Kluyveromyces lactis: one gene and its partner. The main gene of each other region encodes a partner of the protein of the gene in region 2 in a complex. Links are inferred from orthologs where the notes say so. Each region holds a gene or a part of one and is shown on either strand. Other genes may lie near its edges.

Region 1 (3,560 bases), on a different chromosome or scaffold from region 2:
CATTCCCACAAGGTCTCTGTTTGTGGCAGATGATGATGATGACGAAGAAAATGAAACATCCAATAATAGTGCACTAGCAATTTACGGTCAGAATAATGAACAGCACTATGAAGGTGTAGGGCCTGCTGCTGCTGTATCAATTAGGTCTCCTGCGACAGTTTCCACAGCATCATCGGTGGCTAAATTAGGTGATACGGATGACGAAGAAGATGATACCCCACGGTTCAATTTCAGATCTAGAAGGGAAATTTGATTCCTGTATAAATGTATAAATTTGTATAAATTTCCATTAATATTTTCACTTAATAACAAAACCTCTAACTTCATAAGTTTTTACAGCTTGTGGAACTTATTATTAGGTTTTTCTGACATGGCGGGTTCATTTTAGATAAAGAGTCTGTCCTTTCAACGATTATATTCTTAGCTTGAGACTCAGTGAAATGAAAAGTAGATACAACAATTTGTTCTCTATAGATTCTTCAAAAGAGTGCCAATTAGTTGTTATTGTAATATACAGAAAGATATAGTTAAATGAGGAGGACTAATAAAATCATAGAGAGTCATAGATAGAAGCATCATTTGTTCCATGATAATAAGTGAGTATCAGCCGTGGAGCGGCCCCAGAACAGATGAGATGCCAACGAAATCAGCGCAAGGATGAAACAAATACTACCTCCAACGAGATATATAATACCTGGAGCGGTGTTGCGTCCACCTAGAGTAGAACCGTGAGTGATGTATGCGGCTTTTTTACCATTGTAAATGGTAACGGGCCAATGAAGATCTATATCAAGTTGATATTGACCTTGTGGAAGTGAGTTTGCAGAACGTCTGATTAACCTTGAGAACTTCGAGAAAGCAGGTGTTCTCATCCAATTTTGAAACTCTTCCCATTCATGAATGTCCGGCATATTTGTATCATTATAACCGTCTGGGAATTGCTTTTTCCAGTAAGGTGGAGGAACAACTTCGGAAGGTGAATATTTCGTTTTCTTATAACGGTCTTTATCAGTTGACCAATTGATATTTTTGTTACTCAATTCAATAGTATCCACTTGGTCTCCACTATCCTCTGAGATCACTTGCATTGTATCAGGAAAAGTGTCATTAAACATTGCATTGGCTATTAGACCACATGGGTAGTAAATTTTTCCTGCACTATCTCTCACTAAGGGTTTACAGTTGATACCGATATTATCTTTGACTTGGCCTAAGGTAGCCTTGTCACCGATGATCTGGAATTCACTAAAGGACAACACGTATCTTCTGTGGTTTCCAAAGAAGTTTTCAATGTAGTAGTATATATACAAAGGACCCTCTAATGAATAAGGAGTTGAATATCTTAATTGACAGGTACCGGTCTGCAATTCCTCTGGATCTGGATCTGAATCTGGTACGTACTTCCATTGAGGAACAGGTAAATCGTCTTTATTATAAGCCTTGTGGAAAATGTATTTGTAATGGTCATCCGGTACGTCTGCGAAATCATCCGTTGGCGCGTTCGTATCACAGTCTTGGTAGAACACGAATATCTCATCGACATGTCTTGCATTATTGAGCATGACACCACCAAAAATTAGGAAAAGCGCTCCGAGGAAGAAATAGATGGGAAGCACTTTCTTGGGTGTTAGCACTGGATTGAAAGATGCTATTTTCTGTTGTGTAAATTTCGTCTCCTTTGGTCTTCTGGATTTAGGCTTCTTGACTACTTCATTTTCATCATCTTCAAATTCGGATGCGTCCACATCATCTTCCAATTCTACCATCGTATTGAGTCCATTTTCATCTTCTGTAGACTTTCCATCTTTACCACGTCTATGAAAGACTCCAGTTACACTTTTCCCTATATTCTTCAACGCTGTCATGGTCAGGACAATTTATATGTAGGAAGTATTGAGGGAAAAAGGTGGTTAAAACAAAAAAGAACAATTTCAAATCCGGTTGAAACACCTGTGACAGCGAGAAGGTTAACTGTCCAATTAAGTTTAAATAGAACCACTCAGTGTTTCTTTTGATATCCTGATCAACTCAGTTGACAACTCAGTTGACTGCTATACCCTCAAATTGTCATAGTTTTCCGTAACATTAGAGAAGAAGTAAAGTACAAATGAACCATCTTTTATTTTTTTTTATTTTCACTTTGAGAAGCCTTGATTATTTATTCAAAAGATTCGTGCAGGAAATTAACGGTTCAGGAAACCGAATACTGTTAAGAGACTTCCGCTTCGACGACTGGGGGGAAAGAGCTTATCATGTGCTGACACTACTTGTACGAACTAATCTGTGAGGTCATGCGATATACAATAATGATTAATAGCTGCGCTTTCGTGCAATATTGGGCATAATAAGCGCAGAGCTTATGTAATAGATTAAGCTATTCCCGCTGTGCTACAGAAGGCTAACCTTATACAAAACGTAAAACCGCCTCGAAGAAGAAAAACTGTTTGCAAGGTCACATGACATCAATATTTCTTCAAATCACGTGGACAACAACAACGACTTCTTTTTTTTTTTCCAGTTCAATTAGCCAAATCTCATGCACTCCTCAAGAATGCCAATTGACAGAACGGAGATGCAGAGAGAAACTCAGTGCGAAAGCAAGTACCAACCTTCTTTATACTGAATTGGTATCAGACACAACTGCTAGACACTTTCCCAGCACTGCTAATCCAAAGTCCGGCTACCGTTGGAATCTCTTCGAGACTTCGCACCCATTAACGTCATTTACCACGATTGACCGGCCGGAACGGCTTTACCAGGACGTCCATGATCCGGCCGAAATTGGACCATCTTTACCAACCCAGAGACTGACGCAGTTTCAACCATAGTACTCTGCTCTGAATCCTAATGTCCTTCTATACCCATCCTTTGGGCACCCAATCCAAAGATCATCTTTAACTAGAGGTGACGTGCGCCGCCAGACGGCAATTCGGTCTCTACCATAAGGCAACCAATTCCCCACCACGTAAGTACGCGTTTGCCTACCTTTTTCTTTGAGTATTTACACGTTTTTTTCCCTCTCCTTTGTGTATTCTTTCTGATAATTCCGTTCGACAGAATTCTTCTTAGAAGCAGCAGAAGAACGGCAGGAAAAGCTCATTGCATGAAACAGAACGTTAGGTTATTGTAATGATACAGGTGCTTTACTAATTGAGTTCAAAAGAAATTCTTTTTTTGTATTATGCTTATGTGTATATCAACCCTATTTACCGATGCTCGTTCCTAGTCATCCTAAGTAACCATCAATACTTGAAAATCTACAAAATGATAAAATCAGGTCTCTTTGTTATGGTTTTCTGGATTTCTTTTTGCCGATTCTGTTTAAACATTATATAAGTATATGTCATTACAAATCTGAACACAGTACAAATATGAGTTTCAGGATTTATTATTATGTCAATTGATGCAAATGTATAAAAGAAAGTGCCAGGGATCCAACTAGTAGCTGAAAGTGAGAGAAATAGTTGGTTTATATATATATTTTTCTTTTTCGGTTTGATCAATTTGGGTTGCTTTAAGTATTAGTGACCTTTTTCTTTAGTTCAATTTAAAGTTTGGAG
Region 2 (4,502 bases):
TTAAGAACCTAAACTGACCAATGGCGAAATCAGCCGATCTCGCTGCCTGCATACCTTCCATACCACTTATGCCTACACCTACGTGAGCAGCTTGAATCATACTCACATCATTGGCACCATCACCAATTGCCAATAACAATGAAGATGTTTTTCTCTTCACCATTTTTACAACGAGAGCCTTTTGCAATGGAGACACTCTACAGCAAATAACGGCCTTACATAGCTTACCAATTGTCAAAAACTGATCTTCAAGATCTTCCTCTAAAGCATATCCTAATGATTTACCATCAATCACTAAAGCTAACGAGTTCATATCCTGCTGTGAAATTTGATGTGACTCGATGGCATTCAACTTACTTTGGAGATTCGTACGCGTATCCTCCTTAGTTTCTTCGTTTACGATCAACAAATTCATATCTTCACTTAATAGACGACAACTCATACCAATATTGATTGCAGTTTCCTGTCTATCACCAGTTAAGACCCAAACTTTCAATCCGGCCTCTTGTAAATGGTGAATTGTTTCTGGAACACCTTCTTGAAGTTTGTCTTCGATAGCTGTAGCACCCAAAAAGAAAAGGTCGTGTTCAATCAGTTCGGCTGCCCTATCCAACTCTTCAGTTCTATCCTTCATAGTTGTGGATGCTGCTTCATATATTTTACTCCATTCTTCATACTCCTTTTCCGGAATTGTCCTACTAGCGATACACAAAGTCCTTAAACCTTCAGCAGCATAATCCTCCAAATGTCTCAAGGTTGATTGAACGTATGGATTAAATTCACTATCAAGCCTCTCGAGGATCACGGTATCTGCACCTTTACAGAATAATTTAATCGAACCATCAGGCATTCTGAAAATGGCGCTCATACGTTTCCTAGTGGAGTTAAACTCACAAATGTTGAGCAATTGATATTCAAGCTGTTCACTGAATGGGGTTGAAATGGAGACCGAGTTAGGTCTACGGATATCGAATCTGAAGCCTAAGTCTGCTGCACCTTGTACCAATGCCCCCTCATCAGGGGAAGCTGCTTGATATTTGATTGTTCCGTCACTTTGTGTCTCTGGGATCACAGTATGACAAGTAGCTAATAAGGTTAAAAATTCAATGACAATGCCTGCTTCATCATCCTCAGGATCTGTCATTTTATCCTTTAGACTTTCAAAGGAATGGAAACCTATCTCAATTCCATCTTCTACAGTTGCACGTCTATCTTCAGGAATAGTTTCAATATAGCACCTGCCAGCAATAGAAACAGACTTGAATTCCATTACATTTCTCGTCAAAGTACCAGTTTTATCACTGAATATGTACTCAATTTGACCCAATTCTTCTACCAAGGATGACGTTCTAACAACGGTAGGTGTATCTGATTCCTCGTGATATAAGTCCAAGTCTGAACCTATCATATAAGCTTGGTAGTACTTTATCATTTCAACTGTAACAAATAAGGAAATGGGAACAAGGTTAGAGAATAAAATCCAGAAAGTTAGTATGTCTTTGAAAAACAAGCCAGCTTTATTAGTACCTTCGATATATAAATATCCGAGGTGAGCAGAATCCCTTTTCGTCATAATGACATTACCAGTGGAGGAAATCAAAGCTAGAACAATTAAGACACCAAACAAGGCAAGAATTTGCATATTAATGACTCTTTCCACAGCAGTACGTTTAATTGGAGTCGCAGTGGCATTTCTCATCAATTTGGTTTCGTGACCAGTGAAAACTATGAGGCCAAAAATCCAAGCAGTATTTCTCAACGTAGCACCTCTCAACAGCATTTGATCCGGAGATAGAGGGAAAGTGCTACCATTTAGCGTCATTGTACCTTCATAAGTATATAAACTGGAATTTGGGTGCTCTGACTGTACCCTTCCATGAAGTTTACAGAGAGCTTTTTCATCGAGGTAGTTTGCTGTTTCTTGTCTCGCCTGTTTAATCTTTAAATTGGTTTCACCATCGAGATTGGCTGTTTCAATGTAGCATAACCCTTCTGGTTCCGAAGAGGAAAGAATGATCAAATCAGCAGGAATTGCTTCCTCAGATCTAACTCTTATAATATCACCAACTGCTATATCAATCCACTTTTTCCTCACAAACTCTCCAGATCTTTCGTCCAAAACATCACACAGGGAATGATTCAATTCCTTATCAGCATTCGATCTTTTCAAATCTTCGACACTTTCTTTAACTGCAGAAACAATTAACACTACTAATAGTGTACCAATGGTCGTATATCTATTGGTAGGTGTAACATTAGGTACTTGCTGGATAATGGAGGTGAATAAGAAGAACAAATTCGCGTATTTGGAGAATTCTTGAAACAAAAACTTTGGCAAGAAAGTTGCAGCGTTATATTTCGTCGTAGAGATGTGATTATCTCTGTAGCCGAAACGGCTATTTGCTGAACTATCGTTGAGTAAAATCGTTCTTGGCTCGTCAGACTTACAAGAGGTTTTCCCTTTTCTGAGAATATACCTGTTGAACAAAACTTTGATGTCAAACTTCCTCGTAGAGCTTTCATACCTATTAGTGTTGCTCTGATCGTAGTCATTCATTTCGAAACTTTGGAATTGACCCTTATGTCCACCATTCATACCGACTGCACTTTTCACATTGCTCATAAATCTATTGAACCCACTTGGCTGAGGTAAGACACTATTCCTAGGGTTAGTGTCTGCAAAGGATGCTGAATAACGGTCATTGAAAGGATTTTCAATGTCGTTCTCTATGTTGTCACTGAGGTCAATGGTCTCTTGTGGGAGTAAGCCTCTCTGTGAGGTATCCATTCCTGAATCTATTACTGCACTTGGGCTGTTCCTTCTTGGACTATCCCGTAAATCCGGGGTGTAGCTATCATCAAGAAAGTCAACATCAAACAACGCATCGCTGTCGCCATGCTTAGTTGAGCCACTCATTGGAAAGCAGGTTGATCGGTGTGTCGCTCCTCTCTGGCTCTGTATCTCCCTTTCAAAGTACTTGGGTTTCATGGTGCAAATGGTTTACGAATCTTTCTGTTTAATGTGTCCTAATGGGATTTTCCGGTATAATTTACAAAGAAAAAACTGTCAGCATGGAAACAATATTTCCACGTGACTGCTATTTCGAATGCATTATTTGGGTACAGTATAACAAAATGAAGGGAAAGGGGACATACTATTGATGGTGAGATGCTATTGTAAGTGTATATAATTATTAACTATTGCCTTTGCTTCTTTATCGTAGTTGGAAATTTATCTTCAATAAATATAATAATATGTCAAATTTAATAGTATACAAATGTGGTCATGACGAGCTCTGTTTTTCAGAAACGCATCATTGTGCAAGTTCTTGTTGGTTGGAATTTAGTTCCTGTTCATATTCGATTTCAACCTTAGGATGTCTCTTTCTGGTTTGTGTAGATTTCTTTTGTCTCTTAGATGGGTTTTCTTCTTCATCGCTATCTTCGTCGCTACTGTCTTCGTCACTGTCCTCATCACTGCTGTAATCAGATGTATCAGAACCACCGAGCCATTTTTCTAAATCTTCCATATCTACCATCTCATCCTCAGCGTCTTCATCTTCTACGAATTCGACTTCTCCCTCATCGCTTTCTTCTTCCTCATCCCAATCGTTTTCTTCTTCATCCAAGTCCTCGTCTTCTACACGTCCCATGACCTTCTTCCAGATCTTTTCATCCACATTCAAAGGCTTATCACCATACACACCACTCTTCAATCTCTCAAGCAATTCTTTTTCGATAGCCTTTTCAATCTTAGCGGCTGATAATGCCTTACGTTCTCGGTTCTCTTCTCTTCTTTTCACCTTAGGAGCAATACCGACATAATGTCTCTCCTCCTCTCTCAATGCCAAACGTCTCTCTGTAATCATCACTTGTGTAAGCTTTGTCATCCTTTGCTTACACTTATGAATTAAGAACTTGTTCCAATACAGTAAATGTTCATCGATCTGTGCTAATGCCTTTGTGTAATTCTTAGATAGTTTCACTCTTTCCCACAATTTAGCAGGCGTGTGAGCTCTTTCCGCGGTCTTCATGTACAAGTAAAGTGTTCCGTCCACGTTCTTTACAGTGGCATATTTACTATTTGCCAAAGGACACGCTTGTCTCGAACATAAACCTGTTACGTTGTATTCATTTCTACAGAAGTTCTGTCCCTTATCAGTTTTGACTTTGTACGCACAAAAGTGCTGGTTGATAACCTGCCAAATGATCTCGTCAGACATCTGCTAATGTTCAGTCAATCCTACAGATACTGGTTTATGCTTAGTATGAGTTTATTTAAATTGGTTATGACTATCGCTAAGTTTACTTGCTATTCCGCTAGTCGCTGCTTCTTTCATTTCATCTCATCTCATCGCATCGCATCGATATTTTTCAGTTCTCAAAAATTTTCAGGCAGAAAGAGAAAAAAGAAATGGATTACTAAATTTTTAGTCACATGACCAATGATATTTTATTGTTATAATCGGAAACTTAATCAAGAGTCGGAATATGCATGATTA

The links.
Region 1: DRS2 (region 2) and LEM3 share a complex: the UniProt entries of both Saccharomyces cerevisiae proteins name them as parts of the flippase complex. The link is inferred for Kluyveromyces lactis from reciprocal best matches to the Saccharomyces cerevisiae genes DRS2 and LEM3.

What each region holds. Positions count from the first base shown.
Region 1 is NC_006041.1:202,159-205,718, reverse strand, and holds LEM3 (Lem3p), read right to left. Parts: upstream 1,866-3,560; coding exon 576-1,865; downstream 1-575. Other genes in the region: XRS2 (Xrs2p), read left to right, coding at 1-253; KLLA0_E02157g (uncharacterized protein), read left to right, coding at 2,457-2,828. UniProt on the Saccharomyces cerevisiae protein: Accessory component of a P4-ATPase flippase complex which catalyzes the hydrolysis of ATP coupled to the transport of glucosylceramide, phosphatidylcholine, phosphatidylethanolamine, and small amounts of phosphatidylserine from the lumenal to the cytosolic leaflet of the cell membrane and ensures the maintenance of asymmetric distribution of phospholipids.
Region 2 is NC_006037.1:356,667-361,168, forward strand, and holds the start of DRS2 (aminophospholipid-translocating P4-type ATPase DRS2), read right to left. Parts: upstream 2,990-4,502; coding exon 1-2,989. Other genes in the region: ribosome biosynthesis protein MAK16, read right to left, coding at 3,315-4,223. UniProt on the Saccharomyces cerevisiae protein: Catalytic component of a P4-ATPase flippase complex which catalyzes the hydrolysis of ATP coupled to the transport of phosphatidylserine and small amounts of ethanolamine from the lumen to the cytosolic leaflet of the trans-Golgi network and ensures the maintenance of asymmetric distribution of phospholipids.